2 linked regions of the Oryctolagus cuniculus genome follow. The protein of the gene in region 2 interacts with the protein of the main gene of each other region in a pairwise test. Links are inferred from orthologs where the notes say so. Each region holds a gene or a part of one and is shown on either strand. Other genes may lie near its edges.

Region 1 (3,746 bases), on a different chromosome or scaffold from region 2:
GGGGCCCCCCCGGGCTGCCTCCCAGGGGCAGCAGCGGGGAGCTGGGGCTCGAACCCGGGCAGTTGGATGTGGGAGGAGCTGCGGGCGCCGTAACCACGGTAACGAAGCCAGCACTGCCCGCCCCGCCCCACAGCCGAGGGTGGGAGGGGCTCACCTCTCAAGGCCCCGCCCCCCGGATGGAAAGAAGGGGTGGGGTCGCCAGGAGAGGCCCCGAGCTCCGTGTTCTCGCTGCTGGAGTCTGACCCTCGGGTCCCCTGGTCGCCGAGGGGCCGCTGCCGGATGCGGGCGAGGATGGCGGCGGCCCAGGCCTCCCCCCGCCCGTGCCAGCCCCCGCAGGGCCCCGCTGGCCCCTGGTCCGAGCAAGGCTGCCCGTGGGCCAGCGGCCAGGCCCTCGGCGAGGCACCCACGGAAGCGACTGTGCCCGGCCGCCGGGCGGGTTCCTGTGATGCGTTCCAGAAAGCTCTGTGGGGGGCAGGGTGGCGCCAACCTGATGGGCGGGCTCGCTCCCGGGCCCACCCACACTTCCCGCTCAGCAGCCGGGCCGGGGTCCCGGGTGGGGCTCAGCTGCTGTCCTCGCTGTCCGAGTAGGCGCCCAGCAGGCTCAGGGAGGAGGGGCGGGGCGCGGGCGGGGCCGGTGCGGCTGCGGGCAGAGGGGAGGGTTGAGACCCCCGACCAGAGGGGGCGGCGCGCAGCCCCGGCTCCACCCTGCGCCTGACACTCGGCCGAGGCCCACCCGCCCAGGGTCTGGGCCCCATCACCCCCATTTTACAGGACAGGAAGCTGAGGCCCAGAGGGTGGGTGCCCTGGCCCTGGCTATGGAACTAGTGGAGGTGCGGGTGGGGGTGAGGGTCGCACCCGAGTCGCCGGGCTAAGACCCTGACCCTCTGTCCCCCGGGCTCGGGGAGGGCACACGGAGACCACCAGCTCCACACGCCGGGAACTCTGCGCCTGTGCACAAAGCGCCCTGGGACCCGAGCGCCCCCAGCCCCGGCCCCTCCGCCCGCCTGCGGGAGGCTCTGCTGCCCCCTGGCGGCCGCGGGCGGCACCGCGCTCCCCCGGGGCACTGACCTGGGCCGGGGGCCGCGGCGCCCTCGGGATCCGTCCTCGGCTTCTTCACCACCACCAGGCCGGACAGCTGCGCCTTGCGGCTGCCACCGCCCGCCTTCCTCTTGCCCTGCGGGTGCCGGACGCGTGTGGCCCATCGGTGCCGCCCGCCTCGCCTGCTGCCCACCGCCCGGGGCTCGGCCGGGTCCTCCCGTGACCACGCGGGCTCTCCCTGCCACGCCCCCACCACGCCCCCCCCAACCCGAGCGCCTACTCGGTGCCCCGGGGGAGCCCGGCCCCCGCCACGGCCGGCCCGGAGCCAGCAGGTGGGGGGGTCACTGTGCCTCTCAAATAAAAAGGGGGTGGGCTTCCAGGCTGCCGCTGCCGCAGGGCCCGCCCTGGCCGGGTAGCTGTAATAAAGCTTTATTGGCACAAGCCACACCCCCGGGTCACACACTGGGCTCTGAGCTCAGGGTCGGGCGGGCTGCCCCTGCCCCCGCCCCCACATAACCCCTCACCTCCTCCAGGATGGCCGTGGGGCTGGGCCGGGGCGCCGGCCGCGGCGGGGCGGGGGCCGTGTCCTCCTCCGAGTCGGAGTCCTCCAGCAGCCGGCGCCTCTGGGCTTCCTCCAGCAGGGCCCTGGGGGAGGGGCGTCTGTGTGGGCTAGAGCGGGCCGGGGGCTCCCCCGCGGGTGGCAGGTGCACAGCCCTGGGTCGCTCACTGCCGCCTGAACCGGGGGCTCCCAACCACTGAGGGAACCGCGGCCCGGCCCAGGTCGGGTGGGGGAGGGGGAGGGGAGGGCGGCGCCGCCCCCCCCAGTCCTGCCCATCCACGCGGCCCTGGGAGGAGGGGCCGGGGGCGGGGCTGGGGAACCAGAGCCCCGCCCCGCCCACTCACGCCGTCCCGCGCGTCCCCCGCCCCCACTCACGCCGTCCCGCGCGTCCTCCCCCCCACTCACGCCGTCCCGCGCGTCCTCCCCCCCCACTCACGCCGTCCCGCGCGTCCTCCCCCCCCACTCACGCCCTCCCGCGCGTCCTCCCCCCCCACTCACGCCGTCCCGCGCGTCCTCCCCCCCCACTCACGCCGTCCCGCGCGTCCCCCGCCCCCACTCACGCCGTCCCGCGCGTCCCCCCCACTCACGCCGTCCCGCGCGTCCTCCCCCCCCACTCACGCCGTCCCGCGCGTCCTCCCCCCCCACTCACGCCGTCCCGCGCGTCCTCCCCCCCACTCACGCTGTCCCGCGCGTCCTCCCCCCCCACTCACGCCCTCCCGCGCGTCCTCCCCCCCACTCACGCCGTCCTGCGCGTCCTCCCCCCCCACTCACGCTGTCCCGCGCGTCCTCCCCCTACTCACGCCGTCCCGCGCGTCCTCCCCCACTCACGCCCTCCCGCGCGTCCTCCCCCCCACTCACGCCCTCCCGCGCGTCCCCCCCACTCACGCCGTCCCGCGCGCCCCCCCCACTCACGCCGTCTCGCGCGCGTCCTCCTCCTGCTCGCGCTGCCGCCGCTCGTCCTCGGACAGGCGGTGCAGGCGCAGCATGGCCTCGAAGTCCACGCAGGCCTGGCGCTGGTTCAGGTCCTGCAGGTCCTGCAGGTTCTCCAGGGCCTGCATCTCCAGCTTCGAGTCCTTGGTGCGGTTCTCCAGCACCTGGCGGCGGGCGCGGGCGTGGGCGGGCGGCTCAGGCCGGGCCCCTCCCGCACACCCCCGCACCCCCACCCCCACCCGGGCTCCACGGCGGGCGGCTCAGGCGCGGCCGGGCTCCCACCCTCGCTGGGACGCGGAGGCTGCGCGGGGTCCCGTGTGCAGGTCTGGGGGGCGGGGTCTCAGCTGTGGGGTCTCGGGGGCGGGGACCGGGGGCGGGGTCTCAGCTGAGGGGTCTCGGGGCGGGGACCGGGGGCGGGGTCTCGGGGGCGGGGTCCCGTGTGCAGGTCCCGGGGCGGGGTCTCAGCTGTGGGGTCCGGGGGGGCGGGGTCTCAGGGCGGGGCCCGGGGGCGGGTGGCAGGTCGGGGCCCGGGGGCGGGGTCTCGGGGGCGGGGTCCGGGGGCAGGGACCGGGGGCGGGTGGCAGGTCGGGGCCCGGGGTGGGGTCTCGGGGGCGGGGTCCCGTGTGCAGGTCCGGGGCGGGTGGCAGGTCGGGCCCGGGGGCGGGGTCTCGGGGGCGGGGTCCGGGGGCGGGGCCCGGGGGCGGGTCGCAGGTCGGGCCTGGGGGCGGGGTCTCGGGGGCGGGGTCCGGGGGCGGGGACCGGGGGCGGGTGGCAGGTCGGGCCCGGGGGCCCCCACCTTCATGGGGTTGTTGAGCTCCTCGTCCTCCCGCTCGCGCTGCAGCCGCCGCTCCTCCTCCTCCAGCAGCTTCTCCGCCTGGAAGTTGCGGGAGGCGCCGTGCTCCATGCTGTAGTCCGTGTTCTCGGGGTCGGTCTGCGGGGGCGGGCGGCGGGTCAGCGCGGGCCAGGGCCCTGCGCCCCCCACGGTCCGTGCTCTCGGGGTCGGTCTGCGGGCCGGGGCCCTGCGCACCCTCGCACCCTCGGCACAGACCGACCCCGGCCCACCGCCTCGCTATCAGAGGGAGGGAGAGAGAGAGGGAGAGAGGGAGGGAGGGAGTGCGAGAGGGAGGGGGGAGGGAGTGCGAGAGGGAGGGGGGAGGGAGTGCGAGAGGGAGGGGGGAGGGAGTGCGAGCTGCCGTCCACTGATGGCTCCCGGAGCGCA
Region 2 (3,646 bases):
CTGCCCTGATGAGCCCTTGGCCTGATACTCATCGTTTACACTTACAAATAACTGTGCCACTCTCTAGGTCACGGCCAGGATTTTGGTTTTGTTTTTAAAAGCCTCAACTTTCACAGGCCTCGGTGGCAAATTTTGAGCAACAGACTTCCCATTCATTGTAGTAAGACCCTTTTAAACTGACACTAAATTCCCTAAGAATTCCCTAAGTTGTTTAACAAAATAAATTCAATGCCACACACACACACACACACACACACACAAATCCTGATTTATTCCCTGTTTCTCATACATCATTGGTGTTGTTCTACTTAAAAAGCAACAGCAGTGACTCCAAAAAATGTTTACAATTTAATTATATGTGTATGTTAATCTGAGTAACTTAAATACAGAAAAGAGTTAGTACACCACAAGCATTTTCTACATTTTTATTTTGTGGTGATTGTGAGACAAACACAGTCCAAACATTAAACTTCTCGTCCTCCCCTCCCAAACACTATCTGACTCCACAGCTCATGCAGCCCAATTACAGCAGTTGTCAGGTTGGCACGATGGCGTCTCACCCGAGTTCCAGTTTACCCTCCTGAATCCCTTTCTCATCATTTAAAAAATAAATAAACCCACATGCGATTGAGACGCGAGGTCTTCTTTACACTCACCAGCAGGGGGCACATGTGAGCACTACTGCCACACAGCCTGCTCTGGTCCTGCTCCCCAGCTGGAAATCCAGTCTGGGAGGGGGCATCCTACAAGGGTCTGGATCCCTGAGGACACTGGGAAATACTTTTCTTTCCACACCATCCCTCACAGGGCCCTACAAGTCTCTGCGACATCTGGCTCCTACAGGACTTCTCCAGGCCCACCTAGTCTTGCCTACACTCTCATTCCAAACTGAATCAGATTCTCCCTGGCAGGTGAATCACTCCCCATTAATAAGTGCAGTGCTTGGAGGAGCTGCGTTAACTGTTTCAGGCCACTTGGGTGCCTTTCAGTACAGGCTGCTTCGGGCCAGAACACCTCAGTCCCATCCCTTTCACACTATGAATTTAATCAGCAGCCAGCAGTCAAGGGAGTTGACGCAGAAGGTGCACTAAGACTCATCTCCAATTAGCAAGCCTCAGTCAGGAGCTACCTACAGGGAGCAGGCAGCCCCAGGGGTAGACAGCCCACTCCTAATTATTCCTGCAGCAGGAAGCGAGGTCCAGACTGCAACTCTAACGGTAGTGGAGGGTGGGGGAGGCACAAAGCAGCAACAGCTGAAGAGGTGCCAGCAGCTGAGGCGCCGCACTCAGCCACGCAGCCCCAGGACAAACAATGCCACTGTCTGTAGTGTGCTGCGCATTACGAGGGGCTCCTCAGACAGATCTGATGCCCCGGGCACCAGGGAGCCCATCCACACCCACACCCACACAGAGGGATGGACACACACACACACACACACACGCACACACACTATATATATGTATAAATTTGGGTGTATATGTGCACATACACACACACAGCCTCAGTGATGACTTAGCACCTCACTGCCAGGAGTGTCTTCTGGGACAGAAACGCATGTGTATGGAGGTTCATGCACACATTTCAACACCCACAGCCTGCTCTGCTCCGTGACAGTACTGGGAATGCCCCTGTAAATGAGCCAGGAGGTGAAGGCGGACCAGTGGGAGGCAGTGCTTAGCGCTTCTGAATGAGCCCTTTCCCGGCACCTGGTGTTTCCTGGGGTTGAACTTAACCTTGGCCTCTCTCTGCCCTAACCCGATACATTGACTCCATCTGGCTTTCTAACTCAGTGTGACAATAAGTCTGAGTCAACCCCTTGGTCACTTTCCTGGGGCTTAGTTCCCTCTAAGTCTAGAATGAAGGGAGGAGGAAAAAAAAAATAAGACACACCCCAATTGATCTTGTGTAACAGTAAAGATTAATGGGAAAGTGTTAAAAAAAAATCACAAAGAAGCTGCCCACTCTGTGGCAGTCTTGCACACGTGTACAATGAGTTTACCAGCCCATAAATATATGCAACCAACACAACCTCATGCTGCGGTGTGTACAAGGGTCTGAGAGTGACTGGCTATCATTTCTTGCTCTGGGCAAGCGTTCGCCTCTTTGCATCTTCTTCTCTAAGTCACTATAAGGTGTCAGTGTCAATCATTACCCTCTCCAGGTCCTGCCGCAGGTGCGTGAACAGCTGCAGCCTCCTAAACAAGACATCCTGCTCCCGCTTCGCTAGATTGTCCTCTTCGTCTTTCTTTGGGGTGATCAGGGGCTTGTTGAAGTTCACTTTCCTCTTCAACTTCCAGTACTGGTACAGGAAATCCACTACTTCCTCGGGCAGCCGCAGGGCCCTGGCGACATCCAGCAGGTTGACGAAGGTGTAGAACTCGTCTTCCAGCTGCTGCAGCTTCTGCTTACGGACACTGACCCTGTGGGCTTCCTCCCGGTTCTGCTCAAGGCTGGCAAAGGGCTCCAGAGGATCCCGGGGGGAACACTCAGGGGCCCCATTCTCCTGCGTGGCACCCTCACCAAGGCTCTCCTCGGCTTTCCTGTGTGAGCTATGCTTCGGGCAGTAGGACTTGAACTTCACTTCATCGTTCTCCGCCAAGATGGTCTTCATCTCCAGGCCCCGGTCAAAAGCACAGGTCACGTGGAAGGCCGTGCGGCAGTTTTTCACAGAGCACTGGGAAGAACCCACAGAGGAGAAAGACCGTTAGAGAGCAGCAATGATGGGCGCCCCCAAGGGGCCACACAGGCTCCCGCAGCAGAGCCCCACTTTGCAGCATGAGCCGAGGCAGGAAGGTTTACATGAATTAACCCTGGCAGATCAGGGCTCTCTAATGGGGTAAGACACAGAGTGTAAGAGGACTCTTCAGGTTGAAGTGTCCATAGCCCAATCAAACCATACGTAACATTCTTAGAAAAGTAACGACATCCAAATCCCCTCAAAGCAGACGGAATGACAAAAATGTGCGTGTAGAGGAAGATGGGTGATACTCGGAATGCGTGCTCAATATGCACAGTACAGCTGAGGGTACTTCAAAAAGTTCACGGAAAGTGAAAATAAAAGGGGTGTCTATTTTTGGTGCAAAATATTTTTGAAATCCATTCATGATTTGTTCACAATATGCATTTTTCATGAACATTTTGAGATTTCTGGGATACACAGACTTCAAAAACGTTTTTGCAGGGCTGGTGCCGTGGTGTACAGGTTAAGCCGTTGCCTGCAGTGCCAGCATCCCATGTGGGCACTGGCTCGTGTCCCAGCTGCTCCACTTCAGATCCAACTCCCTGCTAATGCACCTGGGAAAGCAGTGGAAGATGGCCTGAGTCCTTAGGCCCCTGCCACCTACATGGAAGACCCAGATGAAACTCCTGGCTCCTGGCTCAGCGTGACCCAGCCCTGGCCATTGTGGTCATTTGGTGAGTGACCAGCAGATGAAGATTTCTCTATCTCCCCCCCCCGTAATGAGGAATTCCAAATAATTAAATTAATAAAAATTATAATAATTCTGGATAGTGAACTTTAAAATGTTTTGCACCAAAATGAACATATCTCCTGTTTTCTGCCACCTTTCTGTCTGGCCCTTACAGCGCTGAGCTTCTAGTGATTTATGTCTAAAAGACTCGAAGTATCCCCCCCCCCCCAACAATG

Evidence for each region.
Region 1: the proteins of JADE1 (region 2) and YJU2 interact in a two-hybrid assay, tested with the Homo sapiens proteins (2 studies listed by BioGRID and IntAct). The two-hybrid records come from large-scale screens. The link is inferred for Oryctolagus cuniculus from reciprocal best matches to the Homo sapiens genes JADE1 and YJU2.

What each region holds. Positions count from the first base shown.
Region 1 is NC_091447.1:59,721,423-59,725,168, reverse strand, and holds part of YJU2 (splicing factor YJU2), read right to left. Parts: intron 3,459-3,746; coding exon 3,324-3,458; intron 2,692-3,323; coding exon 2,510-2,691; intron 1,684-2,509; coding exon 1,563-1,683; intron 1,175-1,562; coding exon 1,069-1,174; intron 641-1,068; coding exon 561-640; 3' UTR 1-560.
Region 2 is NC_091439.1:35,900,714-35,904,359, forward strand, and holds part of JADE1 (protein Jade-1), read right to left. Parts: intron 2,675-3,646; coding exon 2,153-2,674; intron 1-2,152.